Solanum lycopersicum: one gene and its partners. The protein of the gene in region 3 interacts with the protein of the main gene of each other region in a pairwise test. Links are inferred from orthologs where the notes say so. Each region holds a gene or a part of one and is shown on either strand. Other genes may lie near its edges.

Region 1 (4,823 bases), on a different chromosome or scaffold from region 3:
ATAATAATAATAATAATAATAATAATAATAATAGAGTTTATTCTCAAATATTTATAGTAGTTATTTAGCTTCCATTTGGATAGATTTGAATTTGAAACATGAAATTTTGAATTTTTAAAATTTTAATATTGTGTCTGAATACGTAATTTACTTTGAAAAACTTTAAAATTGGGTGAGTGAGCAAAATTTCACAAAAAAATAATTATCCAAGCCAAAACGGGAAGTTGGAATATTTTGAAACTAAATTTTTAAATATATTCAAATTTCAGGATCAAACAAATATTTATAGATAATTTTTCAAAATCTATAATTAAGCAATAGATTGATAATTTTTATATATATTATTTAAATAAAAATATTATTTTATTCACGTGATCTACCCTCGTTTGAACAAGAGAGCCTCTAGTTAGGTGCATGAACAACAACAAAAAATGTCATACATTTTGGCCTACCTATAATTCAGATGACCCCAACTAGACCCTCTTCATGCATTTACTATATTTTGCTTGGTAAAATTAAAGTTTTTTTGTCGTTAAACATGTTATAAGATTTGTATGGTTATAATAAAATTAAAATATTTGATTTTAAATATATGATAATGTTCGTACCATTATAAACTTTGAAACTATGATCTTAACTCTTTAAGTATTTCATAATATTTGAGTATATTCCTGTAAAAGCTTGTCACTAAACGTAGAAATAAAATTTTAATAAGTAAAAATACATGTACATGTAAATATATGGTATTTATTCTCTCTTAATAAAGACCTTAAATTCCATACTTGAATACAAGGAGCATTTCACTTTTTAACGGGTCTTATGTTGCAATAACTCAGATCAGTCAAAGTCTTAATACAAAAATCAACTGTTTGGAACCCAAAAAAAAGTGACAAGTTGAAGTTAAAATTTTAAAATATATCTTTTGTTTCAATTTATTTATCTTATTTTAATCTAGTTCCTAGTTTATAATTAAAGAAAACTTTTTAATCAATGATATATACCCAATGTACAAAAAAAATCATTTAATCTTGTAATGCTAGGACATATTACATGAAATGTTCAAATTACAAGTTTTCAAAGAAAAAAAAGACATTGTTTAAAACAAATCACTAAAAAATTAAAATAAAAAAATATCATTCTTTCTGAATTAAACTAAAAAGGAAAAAAAATATTGCTACATAAACTCCAATAAAGAGTACTAAAAAATACATAAAAAGAAATATTACTATAAATTACAATAATAAATAATTTAAAAAACTAAAATCAAAAGATTTTTTTTTCATAATTCCCTAAATAACAATAAAATCACGCTTCGAATAACAGTAGCGTCACGTAAAATAAAACGAGAAAGAGAAAAAAACATATAAACACCAAACATGAGTACGAAGGAAGTTATTTGTCATGCTGCAAATGCAAGAGACAAGCGAGCTGAATGAGAGCTTGCGAGAGGTGGCTTATTAGCTCTACTTCCCACATGTCCTGCCGTTGATTTCAACGGCAGTTGCGACGGTGGCCCATCGGGCGACCCATATTTAACTGGCTGCGGTCCCACATTTACCGCTTTTTCATGCCGACAACTCAACAACCCACCCCCTTTCCACTTCCCTCCATCACCACCACCACCGCCACCAAAAAATTGAGTATTCGTCTCGATTTCTGAAATAGTTGAATAATTAGTTACACTAGTTCGATCGAAACCTTCAGCTGTTGTAACACTCCAGTCAATACTCACTTCACTTGGTGCATAACACTCTGTAGCTGCAACACTAGGTGTACCAGGCTCTTCGAGTGAATTTCGTTGACGATATAACGGACAGGATGAATTCGCCATTGAAGTCGAAAAGCTCTCGATTTCGAATAGATCGGAGCTTGCATCGCTTGCTACATCGTCATCTGTAGCTGTTATTCGAGACATTGGACTACCTGGGAAGGGGAAATTATTGCATCGATGGTGATCTGTTTCGATTGATTTTCGAGTAGATGGTTGAAATACCTCGAGTGAATCTCGAGGCGGATCTTCTAAAATTGGGGAAATCGATGATCTTGTTGATGGAGGTTTGATTCCTAATTTGGATTGACCTGAATGGTTCAGAATTGGGAATGAAAATCCTCCACCTGGCACCTCGGTAAACGGTCTAACCGGTGCCAGTACACGTTGTTGACAGCTGATTGTACCAGCTGTACCACTCTCTGATTCTGATGATCTTCTCTGAATCGCTCCAATTTTATTAGTCTCTGACCTGACCACCACTCCTCTGTGTTGAATTTCAATTGAACTTTTCTGAGATAGGTTAGTTGATTTCTCAACTACAACTTTACTACTGTGTTTGACGGGGAAATGCTGCTCGGAGCCAGTTTCTGTTCTTGGCTCCGAGCTAGCTTCCTCAACCTGCACAGATTTCTTCCCAGAACAAGGGCATTTTCGACAGAAAAACCATTTACGAGTATTAAACGAACCACTTCTTTTGTCATTCGTATTAATACTCTTCAATGAAACTGATACTGCACCTGGAGGATTTGCTAATAATCCTGTCTGGCTATTCCAACTCGCTTCTGACGAAGCAGTTGGAGTAGCACGAAAGGAATTAGCACGGAAGTTTCTTCCGTAGGCATTGTCTACGGAAGAAACTGACGAATGTCGATGACCTGATGGTAATTCACATTGATCATTTACATTTTTTTGAGCAACAGGAGATGATTCATTGCCTTCACTGAAGTATTTTTTCGCATCGAACACGTTGATTTCGGAATCATCAGGACTATGATCTTCTGGTTTGAGATATGAAGAGAATGATGCATCTTTTAGTACATGATTTTGTACAAAAGCTCTGTATTGAAGAGGATGTTCTGTTAAAGTTTTAACTGTTGTTTGGGAATCCATATCTTTTTCTCCTTTTTGTGATTATTTTTTTTTTGGTTGTACAACTAAACTATAGATAGTACTATTATTTATAACAATTTTTGAGAGAATATTGTTTCTGATAATTTTCTTGACTATCTGTCAGTTTTTTTGGAGTTATAATAAAAGAACGTGTAGACAATGGTCGTGTTGGAGTGATTTGATTATTAATACGTACTCTTTTATTCTTAATCAAAAGATTTGGATTTAAGTCTTTCTGAAAACAAAATCGTCTTTGTTAGGAAGCATTGTATCTGATTCAAATTTTTTTTTTTACATGTGGCATGTTTAAGATCACAAGATTAAAGGGTAGTTTTGTACATTTCACGTTAACTTTAGTTTAGTATCACAAGATTAAAAATCTTCTTTATTTTCTTAAATTTCGTGTTAAACCAAATCAGATTATTCTTTTTAAAATAGAGAAAATACTTCTTAATGTAAAAATTTTCGACAGAAATTTAAATTTAATCAAGCTCTAATTTTAATATCGAGCATCGAAACATCAAATGGAAAATCAAAATAATAATAATAAAGGAACCTTCCTTTTATATATATATATATATATAAGTTTTATTTTTTATTTTCAGTTTTGAGGTTCCAATGATTGGAAATAGAGAATGATGAAAAACTATGAGAAAATTATAGTAGTGATTGTACAATCTACCAACTCTTTTTCAAGTTATATCAGTAATATTTTTTATGATTGGTTAACAATATTTTTATGTTTGATCGATTAAATAAAATGACTTTATTTAAATAAGAAAAGAAAAACATATTTTATAAGTCATAGTTTACTTACAAGCGTAAAAAAATTTAAAACACTTCTTTTGAAAAATAAGAATTAGTTTATATGTTTTAAAAATTTGGTAAAAATGTTTAATCTATTGTCCATGTAAACTAATGGTAGATATCAATTTCAAGTCCCATGTTCATATTAATTTAGCCAACAACAGTGGTTGGATAATGGAATTATATTATTTATTGTCACTTATTATTACACAGAGAATTATTTAGTGGAAATTTGGTCCTGTTGATATAGACCTGAAAAATATTGATGAGATGTAGCAATAATTTTGAAGAGGACCTTTATTGACATGCATTGCCCACTGGTAGTTGTACATTTAATTAAGATTAAAATTAAAATGATGTAATATATATAAATAGACATCTTAATTTGACATTAATGGGTATTGAGCATGTTATCTTTGAATATATATATTTAGACAGTTAACTTGTTTTAATCGTGTCTCGTTAACACTTGATGTTGAGATGATATACAAATTTAGTGGTGTCTAGATGAACATAATTTTTGTTATAAGTTTGAATGTTCAACTGACACATAAAGTGAGTTGAATTGTTCAAATGTGCATCCTTAAAATTAGGGTATTTATTTTACGTTAAAATAGAGTTAAGATGTCTATTTATGTATTATGTCACGTTAAATTGTGTAAATAGATGTAGTACTATATACAATGCACTTGTAATTTAAGGATCAATTCGCTCGACATCCGGACTGACACGAGGTCGAAAACAAAAAAAATATTTTGAATTCTCTAACTGAAAAGTTGACTTCATCATTACCTTAAATAAGTAAATTTTATTTAAACACTCGAACAATAACATGATCTAATTGATCACACCTGAATAACATGATAAAGTGTTCCTAATAAACGCTTCTGGTTCAAACTTTTAAAAAGATTATGCGGACATTAAAAAGTTGTAGCGAGTCTGCAAGACATATTCAATTTTAGTTGAGACTCTACATGAAGTATTTGATTCATGTTAGATTTTTAGAGACTACTCTAATTCTAAACCCTAATTTTATATCTAAATAAAGTGTATTATATTCGAGACATTTGCATATTCCACAAATTCATGAAATATTCATAAAGAGATCAAATTCAAACCATCTCAGTTCAAGAAA
Region 2 (5,257 bases), about 3.7 Mb from region 3:
TCTGCACTAGTCCATTAGTGGCTAGAGACTTCACTACTGTACAGTATAGCACATGATACCAACATTCTCTCAATCTCCCACAACAATGTTTACATGGAAACAAAATGAAACCCAAAGGGGCCTCTCAGAACAGGACATTTCGAGTAGTTAGAATAGTCGAATATTTGTGTGTATTTACGGCTATTTGGTGTCAGTGTTTTATGGCTATTTGGTGTCAGCGTTGTTTGCAAGTTACATCAGTTCAGGGGCAAAATGGTAGTGTTAGCTATGCGAGACACAGCAGAAGCAGAAGCAGAACTGGTGTATTGCTAATCTTAAGAGTAAAAGGAATAAGACATCTCTGCTAGTATAACAGATAGAACGTTTACCACGTCCCAAATAGAAGCAGAGCTGGTGTATTTCAAATCTGAAGAAATAGAACGGATCTACTCAATCCCAAACAAGTTAGGATCCGCTACATGAATCATCACTATCAATGTTGCTCTGTGTAAGCCCATCTCAAATACAAAACAAACTAGAGTTATTCTACTGACATACAAATTTTAAAAGAACAACAAGATCCCTAGATGTCTATCAACTATCAAGTACATCCAAGAAAAAGATGACAAGTTGAGGATCAAAAAAATGAGCTAGGATCATGGAGGCAACTGGTTGAGGGGTTTTCCAAGAACAACAAAAACAGAAAACTCAAGAAGCTACGCCATCTTCACCGGACTTAAAAGACCAAATCGACATTAACTAGCATCGGTGAAGTCTGAATCACAATCAAGAAAGCATGTTATGACTAACAAACTTACATAAGCTGAAAACAAACAGATCCTATTAACAGTAAACAACGAGACAAGAATGAGCAATTGCAAAACATTTTTATTCATACATAACATAAGTAATGTATGTAGCCATAAAACATTTGTATTTTTGTCAAACTTTAACAGGTAATATTAGCTTGGTGAGAAACCAAAAATTGGGGAGCCACAAGGATGGGCTACAACCCTTCTAGTTAAGTTTCTTATCCTTCTTTTTTTTTTTTTTGGAGATTATACTCAACTATTACATAAACAAATTCAGAACTATATAAAACAAAATTTGCAGTTTGCGACTATTAACCACTAGGACCATGAGAAAGGAAAGATAGTTCACACAGGTAGCAGCAATACATGATCTGATCATCCATGGCTGCACAAAGATGCACAAAAAAACAGCTCTTAGTAAACAGATGATCAGGGTGTCTAGTTGTTAACCAGTGAGGTGGCGGTTTCATCAATCATGGGCTTAGTAGCTACAGCAGTGCGATTCCGGCATCCTATGTAGCAATGAACAAGCCGGTGTCAAAAACTTCATCACGGCTGTTTGGCTTAATAGAGCTTTCAGAATCATTATTGACTTTCTCCATCTCCTCATCAATTAAAATTGCCTCAGAACGACAATCCAAGCTGCAAAAAGCTTTCTCACCTCTGCAAAACACAATACAAATTTTCACTACGAAGTTCATCAAGTCATTAGAACTGTTAGAATTGCGGTGAATATTGAACAGACCTGTACATGTAAATATCTTTTCCGTCCAGCTTCTTCTTGCAAGAGGAACAGAAGCGCAAAAAATCGCTTGAAGGAAATGAAGTGAGGACCTCTGAGCTGTCCGTCACCTCAGGCAGCACGGTTTTCTCATTAGCATTCTTACAAAAATTGGGCAACTCATTGTTGTGACATTCTAAAATGCAGTCACAAAAGATATGAGTTACTTTGGCATTGGGTCCACGGGTTCTCACACAGGTATAGTCCTCAGAAAGTTGTATGTCACTCGCTGAAATAGAACCAACTAAGCTGGTGTTAGAGCCAACAGGTGTTGGTATAGGACTCAATTTCGCACCACCTGCAGGGTTGCCCAGCTTTGAGCAACCTCTAACACATTTAGTTTGTGAAACCACTGGATTTATTGCATTTTCAGAACCAACAGCCACAGTACGGTTCGCCAAGCTTGCGAACCGTGAGCTAGACCTTCCAGAGTCCAGAGAACAAGAACGAAAATTTCTCGAGTACTCATGCTCCGACAGGGCATCTCCAATTCCAAAGACAACATCAGAACTTCCCTTTCGAAGATTGGAGCTTTTGGACAAAGTATGAGGAAAAATCGAGATATTCTTAGGGAGTGACTTAGGTTCCTCAAGAGAATCATCAACACAGCTCTGAAAATCATGTGCTTTGATCCTCATTTGTGTGCCAAAAAGAATATTTTTACTATCGGATGATCGAAAAACTTTCCCCGAATGTTTCATTTCATCATCAAGAGAATCTACAATGCCAAGGCCTACTTTAGTACAACCCCATGTCTTGTTAGCCCCAGCCCCTTCACTAGTTGATGACCTAAAGGGGTTTCCCAAATTTGAAAAGACCCTAAAATCCAGTGGAGAAGTAGGACTTCTCACTGAGTCAGATTCTGAACCCTTAGGATTAAACCCAACAAACACACCAGGAACATTGAAAAAGGAGTTATTTTTATGTTTCCTAACAAAAACATCAGGTTGAAAATAAGAATCTGAGATACCATCAGACATCAAATGCCCCATTGTTTGAACTTTCTGGTGTGATCTGGTCCTCTTCTTCAACATTATCCTTAAACCCTCAGCCCTAAAAGTCCACCAACACCTGCATCAAGATCCAATATTCTCTGCTTTAGTAAAATAAATCATCAAGAATGTAAAATTTATAAAAAGAAAAGAAAAACCCCAAATGAGAAATCCATCAAAACATCTAAAGAACAACTACATCAAAGCTTGCATTTTTAAAGGGATTAGAGAAGGCAGATGAAAAAAGGCACAAAAAAACAATTCAAAAATCCATAAAACATACCTAGATTGTTAAAGAGAAACCTTTTTCTCAAGAAAATAAATAGTTAGAAATAACAAAAACTAGTCAAAATCAATGAACACCAAGAGTCAACAAGAGAAAGACCTGCCAATGTAGGTTAGGGCCAGAACAAAAAGTTTGAATTTTTTTTTATTTTTTTACAAAAACCACCATTGACATCTATCTCCAAGAAAAATGATTAAACCCACATAAACCCCATTTTCAAGATTTCAACTTTAGGTCATACATCACACAAGAATCAATGAAAAAATCAAAAATCAAAGAAGGGGTTTCATTTTCTTGATGGATTTTCAATTTTTTTTCAAAAGGGGATTCACAAAGAGAGAAAACCACCTGGTAGATTAGTTCCAGAAGCTTCAAAGAATTTAGTTTATGAGAGAAAAGAGTATAAATGCAAAGAGGAAAACTCTTTCCCTTTTATCTCTCACAGTAGTGTGTGTGTGTGGCTTCTTCAGTACATCTTTTTCTTTCTCTTTCTCTCACAATTTGCATCAAAATCAGTAAATAGTGAGAGCTTCTCAAATACTCTTTCAGTTTCTCTCTCTGTGTAGAAAATACACAAAATACATGTATGTATAAATACAATGAATAATAAATGATGTAGATAATTTTTGTTTGACTTTTATTTGAAATTTTTTATTTTTTGGAAAAAAATAATAATTAAGCCATTAAGATGGTCCATTAAAAAAGTAGAAGTAGTAACATGAGAGATAAGCAAGTATTAATTGGTAAGAAATTATTTCAAAATGGGTGTTTATATTAAATTATTATTACTAGAGCAATAAATACATCAAATGTTTTATATAAACAAACTAATTATTTAATCATAAATAATTATATTATTTAATCATGATCAATTGATAAGGTTTAATGAACAATTCTTGATCAAATTTATTTTTCATTTATTTTGGAGATAAAAGATATTTTAAAAGAGCTTGTCAAATTAATTATCGTCTTGGATTAATATCTAGACATTTATAAATTATTTGGTTAGAAATAATTTATTCAAAAATTAATATTATCGTGATATTTTCTTATAAAAAAATGTCAAATTAATCTTAGTCTATGATTAATATTAAGACATTTATGATTTGTTTGGTTAAGAACAAATTATTCTAATTTTATATGATCGAAATATTTTAAAAGAATATGTCAGTAAATATAGTATAAACTTTAAGATATTTATGATTTATTTGGTTTTGAACAAATTATTTGAACGTTTTATGATAATCGAGATATTTTAGAAGAACTTGTATAATTATTTGTATATCTTTAAAAAAAAATGTCAAATTAATTGTAGTTTTTGCTTTATCAAGACATTTATAGTTCGTTTGGTTGACAACAAGTTATTTGAAGATTATAGTTATGATTGGAATATTTTTAAAATATTTTAAATTAATTACTCATATTTTTTTTATTAATATCAAGACACTTATGATTTATTTGATTGAAAATAAATTATTTAATGATTATAATAATTGATACTTTTTAGAATAATATGATTCATTGGACTAGAACAAATTATTCAAATATTAAAACATTGAAGAATTCTAGAAAAATAAATCAAATTAATTGTGGTTGTCAGTAATGATTTATTTGATTAGAAACAAGTTATTCAAAATATTTAATAGTAAAAATATTTTAAAAGAAAATATATCAAATTAATTGTAGTCTTTGATTAATATCAAGACATTCGTAATGATAAGTTAAGTTAAAAACAATCATTCATGGGATGCAATGGATATAACTATTCCTTTTTAAATTGAAGATCTTAAGTTTGAGTCACGAGTAAAAAAAATAATTGTAAGAAATATTTTCTTTTGATTAAAGTTACGAGTAAAAAAAAATCTTTAATAAAAAATATTTTCTTTCGATTAAAGCTATATGCACCAAAAATTAAAAATAATCAACTTCAATTTTAATATCATACACAAAATTAATATATATATATATATATAAAACTTGAAAACAAGCTATCTAAATATTATACTGATTGCATTACAATTATAATTAAATAATGATAAAATAAATTAAGTGAAAATAATATAATATAATTAACTAGGATATGTATGGGTTGAGACTATAAATCAATATATTTTAATACTATTTATAATTGCTCATAAAAAAGTAAATTAGTAACGTAAAAGATAATCAATTTGCAACTGTTTATATTAAATTATATTTATAGCGTAAAACATATTTATATCATCAAATATATTATTTTTGAAATTGATAGAAATATAGCTCCATGTACAACAAGTTTTTTCAATATATCCACCAAATTCATTCTTAATAATTTTGAGGGATAAAAGGATTAAAAAAAAATAAAACATCAATTATAATTATATTTGGTCAATATTGTCAAAAAACTGAAAGGTGAAAGGCAGGGGTC
Region 3 (3,478 bases):
TGGAATCTCTCTGAAGAAAAGAATCTCAGGTATATCAATCTCCAATCTATTATTTCCTTTAGATCTTTAAGCTATTATAATTGATCCTTTATCGAACTTGATGAGTTTAGAGTCGTTTGAATCAAGTAAATTTAGTGCTGTTATTGATTTTTAGGGCACAGAAGTATAACTTCTTGCTGGTAAAAAATAGAAGATGACTTGATGAGTAGAGCTGGCTAATTACTTGATCAGGGTAACAAGCTCATGAAGGGGAAACCGGTTAGCTAAATACAAAGTATTTCGGTAAATTTAGCAGATAACTGAGTTAATGTAAATCAAAGGAGAAAGAAAATTGTTATGCTTAGACAAATCAAATCTAACTGACTTACTCCGTCCTCAGACCTTCCAGGTGTGTTAAGAGCTTGTTTGTTGAATCTCTGAACATTGTAGAGCTCCATAATTCGGTCATAATTCTCACCCCACCATCTTTGAGCTTGCCATTTGTTGAACATATCCCGACTTCAAAAGAACCCAGGGATATTTATTGTCAGGACCATCAAAGGGTGTTTCAATAAGATACACATAACACTGATATTTTCAATAAGGATAGGAATAATACAGATAGCAAGTGGACAATTTGACAGCTTATCGGGCCACCTAGAAAGCTACATAACACGGATACTTTCAATAAAATAGGTCATCATTTCAGATGGCATTCAAAACACATCAACTAAGTAATAAGAATGGCACATGTAGTAAGTAAGATAATTGAAGGCTCAGTACTAAACAAGTGAAATATTTTAGTAGACATGACTCTTGAGGGAATAAAGAAAGGGGAAACTCAATAAGAATTCATGAATGAATGAAAGGGACTAAACATTGGCCTAGGATAAGATTAGGCAAAGAAGCTTTCAGTACAAAAGAGACTGTTTCTTATAGTATTCATAGGCAAGAAGTTATCATAATCATAATTCCCATAATTTCATTCTAGACGACGACTCTATCCGAAGTTAGGATCAGTTACATGAATCCTTATTGTCTATGTCACTCCATTTAAGCTCATCTTAGTCCAATATTATATACTATGATAAAGTTTTGTGGTAGAAATGAAGAGAGACTTTTGATAGATACCTAAATCGGATTCGTTTAAGATCATTTCCACCATTAGGGAGAGAAACAAAAGTGATCTGTACACCAGGTTCAACATGTGCAGTCCACTCTTTTTGTCCATCATCTTCCGCCACTACCTCACCAGACTGAGAAATAGATTCTACACCACCACCACCACTAAATCCTCTAGCAAATCTTGAATCAGGCCGCGGAGTCCTTAGATTACCAGCACTAGTAAAATCCCAAGCTGGAGTAGAGCTTGAACTTGCTGGTTGAAAAGGATATGGAACTCCCTCTGATATTGTATCAAAATCAGGATAAGGTCTATGACCTTTCCTGTAAGTACCAGTTGGTGTTGATGACTTGCATTTATATGCACCAGAGACCTTTAAAGCAATATCCTTGATCTGCAAATGTTAAAAAATTATTAGTTCATAGCAACTTAGTACAACATCAAGAAGATGGATTGTTGATTATAAGATTAGCTACAGTATTAGCATAAGTTAAAACAGTTAATATGTAAAGTTCAATACTAATAAATATATGCATAAATGGCAAATATATGAACAAAGAAATTACAATAGAATGAAGAGTAAATTGTTTAGGATCCACTCTTTAGGATTATGAAGCGAAATGCTCAACATGTTTTTGCCTCTAGCTTCGGGGCTTAAGCGTGAGTTTGACAATATTAGTTTAACAGATTAAATGTTACTCTCATTGGCAAGGAAAAGTATGTTTCATGAAGTGAAATGCTCAACATGTTTTACCCCTATCTTCAAGGCTTAAGCGCGCTTTAACGATAAGTCAATACTAGTTTAACAAATTAATGACTGTTCTGCCTATTTCAGACAGTAGGAAGTGATTCCACCTATTACTGCTGCTAGAAATGGTATCTTTCTTGTACTATCAAACAAAGAACATCAAAGCAGAAGATCTCTTTATAGGTCCAAAAGCAAAACTTACTGTTTGAAAGTCACTTAATTTCAGAAGTTAACTTTCTGGGGATAGTGATGAATTCAACAGTTGAATTTGTGAAGGATTGAGTAAATTGGAGGCTGGACTACAGTGAATGAACAGATATATCAATGGCTGGTCATGTCAAAGATAATTCAGACAAGTCTTTGCCCAGACTAGTCTACATTTTAGATCTTCTTTTTATTGGTTTTGCAACTTCTAAGTAGACTTGACCAAAACATAATCACAAAGATCACTTCAGTTGAACTCACATAACCCGTCATGAAATTTGTCTTTGCTTATCCATCGTTCAAGGTGTCTGTCGAATCCTCCAAAAGTTGCACATTTCTTAAAGATCTGACTAGTGCAACAACACTTTTGACGCGTCCAAACAACATAGCTTATCATTATAGGCCTTCCTATACATTATACTTTATTATTATTATTGTTCTAAGCTTTCTTAGTGGTCCAATTGGTCAGCCTTACAAACTTCAAAATATTGTTAGTTTCAACAACTTTGGGATGGAAATGAAGAAGTAAGATAGGAAAGTATTAAAATCATAATTGCAAGATGATCTAAAATAAGGACCACTAGATGAAAGCAAACTAAAGTAAAGAAAAACATTATGGGACCAAAGAACTTAGACACATGATCCAAGAAATAACGTGAACATGACCCAATCTACATGCTAAACAAAAAAGAGTGGGGTCAAATAATTTAAAAGTCATATTATAAGTAACCATAGTGCCCACAAATACAAATGGACTCAATGGATTTTCATATGGGATAACCACAAATCGTGATCTAGTTTTACATATACACGTTTTGATAATCTCACATTCAAAACTCATCGGAGATAAAAAAACACTCTAATTTTACCTAATTACATGTCGTCGGTGGATAGTAGCAAGTATCTCGAGGAATTAATTGAGATGCGCGAAAGCTAAGTCTGAACACCAAGATGATAATTAAGAAAATAAAAGTAACATTCTATGGTCCTCACTCCACCCCCGCGTGACCAACAAAATTGTTTATTTCATGTTACTCTTGTTAACCTAATGTCCAAATATAGCCCAAAATCCAGTTAGGAAATGTGGGCCCAAAAGGATGAAATGTGGGGCCCTATTAAAGATATAGGGGCTAAAGCGACAGGTCTCGTACTAAGAGTTAGCTTTGCTTTGAACAAAGAAGGAAAAAAAAAAAGTTTATAAACATTTTTGACAAAAAAATATTTAAATTTAACTACAATGAAATTCAATATAATAAACGGTATTATTAAATCGAAATAACATCTGAAATTATAAGATAAATAAGCCTCTCTAAACCATACAAATGAGGGTCAAAACTCGAATGAAGGGTTTGATTGAATAGTGAAGAGTCTCACTCGTGCCTTCACTACTATCAGTAACGGGAATATATTCAGTAAAATCTCAC
Region 4 (5,456 bases), on a different chromosome or scaffold from region 3:
CCCACTGGCAAAGCTTGGTAAACAAACATTATCATGACTAATGAGGGTAGCCTGACAAATCATTTGATACGAGTTCACGAAATTAATGCTTAACTAGTCTAGAGAAACTAACCAAACCAAATTAATGCGGACCCCAACTGATGTACGATTGAGGAGTTGATAGATTAATTATCTTTTGACCATGATATATGTGGAAACAATAACATCAATCCTACCTAAACATCTATTTGAGTAAATTCACAATAAGCAAATGCATGTACTCCAAGATGAGAATACTTCAAACAGACTCAACTTTTTGGTTAGATATTGGGAATCTAAGGCAGCATGAAAAATTCAGCTACTGACAAAAATGAGGAGAACATCAATGTAACAACACATCCTTTAGGAGAACAGATTACAGGATACTGATGTAAAAGTCTGGTCACAGAAATCACTTCAGCTTCTAGTGCCCTTTCTTTTCTTCTTCTTCTCTTTTCATTTAAGTGGTAGACCCTGCTCCTTAAACCCCACATAGTCCCCACTTGATAAGCAGCATCTTTTCCAACTCCCCCCTTGATGAGGTCCCCATCATGGTTGGAGATAGAGAATCCATTTCACTAGACTGTCCTCTTTTGTCAGCTTCTACTGCTTACCTATGGAAACCTATGTGAGATTGTTTGCTAAGGGGCATCTCAGCCCTTGCATAAAATGGAGTTAGAAATTTCCTCTGTTTGGATATTCGTGCTTTATATTGTCAAAATCTAAATTTTGTCGTGGCTACTATAGATTGACTTAAAAATTTATTTCTGCACTTAATGTTTATTAGCCAAAAAAGTCCAGTTAAGTTGACAGAAAACAAAAATCGCAGGGCAGCTGGCTTACCAGGTCCTCCCAAAAACGTCCTGAGACAGCCTTTTTAAAACGAATTATCCACTTCCCACCATGGCAATTAGCAGCATCCTTCACAGACAAATATAATCAAGAAATTAACTCAGGTAAGAGGTATACATAGTTAAGGACTTCAACAAAATTGAAGACGCAGAAAAGAAATAGTTAGGATGAGCACCAAAACTAACCTCCCATAAAGGACGAATACCCTCTCTGAAAAGATGCAAATCAGTTGGGCTGGGCAATGCTGATGGGCGAGCCAAGTGGCAGTAGCAAACCCAAAACCCTTCAACCTATGGATGGAGAACACATAAGGGATTAAAGAGGCAGTTAAATTCACATAAAGCCAAAAGACCAGAAACAAATTGACTTACAGTACTAAAATCAACAATTTTCTTTATATTGTCCTCGTATGATGTTTGTGTTCGAACCCCAGGTGTCCGGCGAGTGTACCAGAAAACAAACTTGTTCTGATCATGACAATGAAGCTAAGTGAATACCAGAAGCACAACTCAAACGAAAAAGAAAGCAAAAGATGGAAAGTAAACATGGTTGGAATACTGTGCTTATAGAAATACGAAGTTGTGTCCCTACCATATATTTTTTTTTATGAATAGTGGGAAAACATAGCATGGTAATATGCTACAAGCATATGGTAGTCATCATATGCACATGCTCCTAGATATATCTTCAATTCTACAATCCTCCTGGCCTGACTGGCACAGTGAGCATGTTTGTTTTGGCCATCTCCAAAGAAGAAATGCAGATAATTGCATGCACGCCACACATTTGACCACCAATATGGTATTGATTGTTAAAAAATAGTAGCTACTAGTAAAACAGAGAAGAAATGCAAGCATATTAAATACAGGATCCTACAAGATCATGAGACTCTACAATGGGCTTTCAGGAAGTAAGCATCACTAGTATGGGAAATATGATGCTCAAAATTTGTCACTTCATACTCATGAGCCTAGTTTCAATTCCTGAATCTACTGTATTTCCCAAATTTCTGGAGTATATTATGTATAAAGGTAAGATCTTGATGCAGAATTCTCTCAGAAGCACTATGTCCAATCTTTATCACCTAAGATCATACTTATTTGTCCACATGTTGTATTTCCTTTCTCTAGTAGGAAGTGCTTTAATAGTAGTTTCAATGTTATGTATTTAGTTCAAAACAAGTCTCTGGATAAATTGATGTTTTTGCCTGAATGTGAGGTCCTACAACCAGTTTATTACTCCGTAGCTTAAGCAAACTATATTTTTCATGACAATGGTGTCCGAGCCAACTTATGTACACCACAACTATTCCACTAATATACCAACTTAATAATATTTGTTCAATAAAAAGTAGAACTTTCAATAAAGCAGTCACATATTCAGCTCCCTTGCATCAACAGCCTAACAGAGGAATGATTATGAACAAAAGCATACAAATTTGAACTAACCTATAAATTGTGCAAAATAAAATAGTAAACATTTTTCTAGAAATAGTCACAAATTGCATAAAAACCCCAAACAAACAACAAGTATGAGTAGAAAGCATAAAAATTTGAACTCCACCAAGCCTAAAAACTAAATATAACAAAATAGCTGCAAATCGCATCAAACAACCTAGGTTTGAACTTGATGAACCTAAAAATAAAATAAAGTTTGCTGAAATAGTCGAAAAATAAAACAAAAATGAAACCTTGAGAGGATGCAAGCCGGCTTTTAGGTCAACAGCGATGCGTTCACGATCCTCGGCGGCTATTGAGGGATCGATAATTAGGGATTGAGTGCTGTTCGTGTTCTTGTTATCCAATTCTTTCTTCTCCGATGTCACTTCCATTTAGTTCCGGCGAATCTCAGGCGACAACTCTTGTATCTGATTTTTTTCGAGAAGAGGATTTTTCCAGAATGAAAACGAAGAGGGATTGTATATGACTGCGGCTCCCCTTCTTCTACAAACGAATCGGGTTATTCCAGACCCATTTCAACAATCGGGTCAACCCGGTACTGAATTAAATTGTTGAAAATCCAACCCATTTACTTAAAAATAATTATAAATAACTTTTATCTGATTTAAATCGATTAAAAAAAAAGATTTTCTGCTATATAAATAACTTCGATTTTATAATAATAAAAGTTGTTAGAATATAAGTACACATTACTTAAATCTTTTGCTTTATTATATTTTGAATTTTGTTTTCTACTATTCAACTAAATGGTCCAATTCCATACATAATAGTCATTGTTGTGTGATCGTAAAAAAAATTTAATTAATGAGATAAATATATTTTAAGTTTTTTAAATTTGTCAATAAATTTTATATAGATATTTACATTATAGTTTATTCTGATTGAACATTTGAATACATGGAAGTTGAGAGAGTTTGATCTAAAGTTGCATCCAAGAGTATAGCTCAACCAGCTATTAATGAAATAATTGAAAATTAACACAGAAATAATTCGAATTTCAAATCAAAGTGTATAAATATATATATATATATATATATATATATATATATATATATATATATATATATATATATATATAAAGTGATGCAAATTATATTTCAGTTTTATCCTAACTAAATATTGAACTAATGAAAATGACTATGTACTAATCCAATTAATAATTGAGATAAATATCAAAGTTTAGATTAGCCTCCTCATATGTAGGGCTGATATTTTTCACATAGTGATAAGCTTCCACCTATCTACTATATCGCCATCATAACCAAACAAGAAGTTTCAAATATTCACTCTCCAAGGTGCAAGAAGACATTTTTCATATTGAGTGCCTTCATTCAATAAAAATCCCACATTAATTACCATCAAAGCCACTCTTTTTGACTTTTCAATTCCCAAAACAATCAAAACTCCGTAGCCGATGAAGTGATTGACAATAATGAGATCTCATGTTTTAGTGGTTAATTAAGTAATTGAAAGTTATGAGATTTCATGTTTAAATTTCAGTAGAAATAAAAATATTAGGTGAATTTTACATATTTATCGATATTTTAATGGAAAAAATTAGCTGGTAATTTATAAAATATGACATGTGAATCTAACTCAACCCCAGAATTTAGCTCATGATATAGAATATGCTCAAGTTCACGTAAGAGAGACCACTGGTCCATTCTCAAAACTCTAACCCCTCTAACATAAATAACCATGGAATTAGTCGAGATGTACACGTCTAGAGTGGTAAAAAGGAATTAGGACTCCTCTAAATTTCAAACTATTTAACCTCTACTACTCTTTAACTCCCCTGCTTTCATTCATTGAGAAAAAAAAAATGGATCTTCAAGAATGGGAACTTCTTTCTGATAATGGACTTCTTGAAGTACTCCATGATGATAGAGACAAATTTTTGTCTATGGAGTATACTTCTAGTTCCAAAAAAGTGCCAAATCAAGTAGTAATTCCATTACTAATTCAACAAGAACCAAGTATACAAAAGCCCCAAGAAGATGAAGAAGTCATTAAAGAAGTTATCACCAAGGTTCCACTTGAGGTAAACATGTTACCACCTAATATAAAAGTTTCAAACTTTAGATCGCGATCGTCTCATCTAAAAGCTTAAAGATGGTTATATTTTCATTGTAAGTCATCTTTCATGAGTTAAATAGTGCGATCGTCTCATCCGAAAGTTTAAATTGTATTGTATCTCAACAGGATGAGGAGGATAAAAAGTCTCAAGTTTTCTTCAAGAAAATGAAGGAAAGTGAATTTGAAAACATGAAGTTGGATTCACCCAAGTTTAGTAACAAGACTAGTACTGTGTCTCAAATTGATTCAATGAGTTTCCCCTTTGAGGTTAAAGCTGAAGTCTTGGAAGTTGAAAATGAGAGTTTGATCAAGAAAAGGGATAGTAATGAAGAGAAAAATAATGGTGGAGTTAATCTGTGGAACTGGAGATTGACTGGAATTGGTGCAATTTGTTCATTTGGGGTTGCAGCTGCTGCTGTTACGATTTGTATCTTTATTGGAAATCATCAAAAACAGAAACAGCATAAGCAGAATCAGAAGCTTAAATTCCAATTTTCTGATGACAAGGTTTGTGTAGTTATGTTGTCATGTTATTCTTGCAAGTTATGTTTCCATAATTGTTTTATCGAGCCGAGAGTCTGTTAGAAACAGTCTTTCTACCTCACAAATGTATAGTTTAGTCTGTGTACATCCTACCGTTCCCAAGACTCCTATCAGAAACAGTCTTTCTACCTCACAGAAGTAGGGTAAGGTCTGTGTACATCCCACCGTTCCCAGCTCCACTTGTAATGTCTTTCTACCTCACAGAAGTAGGATAAGGTCTGTGTACATCCTACCGTTCTCTGACTCCACTTGTGCATAAAGTGATCAGGGGAGGGGAAAAGTGTATTTTTCTTGAACCTGAGGGGACTTCTCAGAGTTAAAATCTTTCTGCGATATGCTTCGTTTACCTTCTTTTTGTTATGCTATAAGTTAGCAAAGCCTGAAAAGGCAAACACTTCGGCCTAACAAAAATGAGCAAAGAGGAAATGAGACGATGAGGTGACTCAGGTACCCCGTTTAGAAAGAGGGGGTGAAGATTTTTGGCATGTATCTTTCCCCGTCCCCCTT

What was found.
Region 1: the proteins of protein BREVIS RADIX (region 3) and protein PHYTOCHROME KINASE SUBSTRATE 4 interact in binary tests that used the Arabidopsis thaliana proteins (3 or more experiments, as listed by UniProt). The link is inferred for Solanum lycopersicum from reciprocal best matches to the Arabidopsis thaliana genes BRX and PKS4.
Region 2: the proteins of protein BREVIS RADIX (region 3) and FCS-Like Zinc finger 10-like interact in binary tests that used the Arabidopsis thaliana proteins (3 or more experiments, as listed by UniProt). The link is inferred for Solanum lycopersicum from reciprocal best matches to the Arabidopsis thaliana genes BRX and AT5G11460.
Region 4: the proteins of protein BREVIS RADIX (region 3) and eukaryotic translation initiation factor NCBP interact in binary tests that used the Arabidopsis thaliana proteins (3 or more experiments, as listed by UniProt). The link is inferred for Solanum lycopersicum from reciprocal best matches to the Arabidopsis thaliana genes BRX and NCBP.

The regions. Positions count from the first base shown.
Region 1 is NC_090809.1:61,591,707-61,596,529, reverse strand, and holds protein PHYTOCHROME KINASE SUBSTRATE 4, read right to left. Parts: upstream 3,037-4,823; 5' UTR 2,882-3,036; coding exon 1,400-2,881; 3' UTR 1,118-1,399; downstream 1-1,117. UniProt on the Arabidopsis thaliana protein: Modulates phytochrome-mediated control of hypocotyl growth orientation. Involved in PHYA and PHYB signaling. Acts as an inhibitor of asymmetric growth. Not involved in the control of leaf flattening.
Region 2 is NC_090807.1:58,437,400-58,442,656, forward strand, and holds FCS-Like Zinc finger 10-like, read right to left. Parts: upstream 3,418-5,257; 5' UTR 3,199-3,417; intron 2,644-3,198; 5' UTR 2,607-2,643; coding exon 1,537-2,606; intron 1,455-1,536; coding exon 1,304-1,454; 3' UTR 848-1,303; downstream 1-847. UniProt on the Arabidopsis thaliana protein: May act as an adapter to facilitate the interaction of SnRK1 complex with effector proteins, conferring tissue- and stimulus-type specific differences in the SnRK1 regulation pathway.
Region 3 is NC_090807.1:62,145,071-62,148,548, forward strand, and holds part of protein BREVIS RADIX, read right to left. Parts: intron 1,497-3,478; coding exon 1,111-1,496; intron 499-1,110; coding exon 369-498; intron 11-368; coding exon 1-10. UniProt on the Arabidopsis thaliana protein: Acts as a regulator of cell proliferation and elongation in the root and shoot. Regulates roots architecture and primary root protophloem differentiation.
Region 4 is NC_090809.1:61,036,814-61,042,269, forward strand, and holds the start of eukaryotic translation initiation factor NCBP, read right to left. Parts: upstream 3,418-5,456; 5' UTR 2,702-3,417; coding exon 2,561-2,701; intron 1,338-2,560; coding exon 1,242-1,337; intron 1,161-1,241; coding exon 1,056-1,160; intron 940-1,055; coding exon 862-939; intron 1-861. Other genes in the region: uncharacterized protein, read left to right, coding at 4,153-4,371, 4,533-4,913. UniProt on the Arabidopsis thaliana protein: Recognizes and binds the 7-methylguanosine-containing mRNA cap during an early step in the initiation of protein synthesis and facilitates ribosome binding by inducing the unwinding of the mRNAs secondary structures.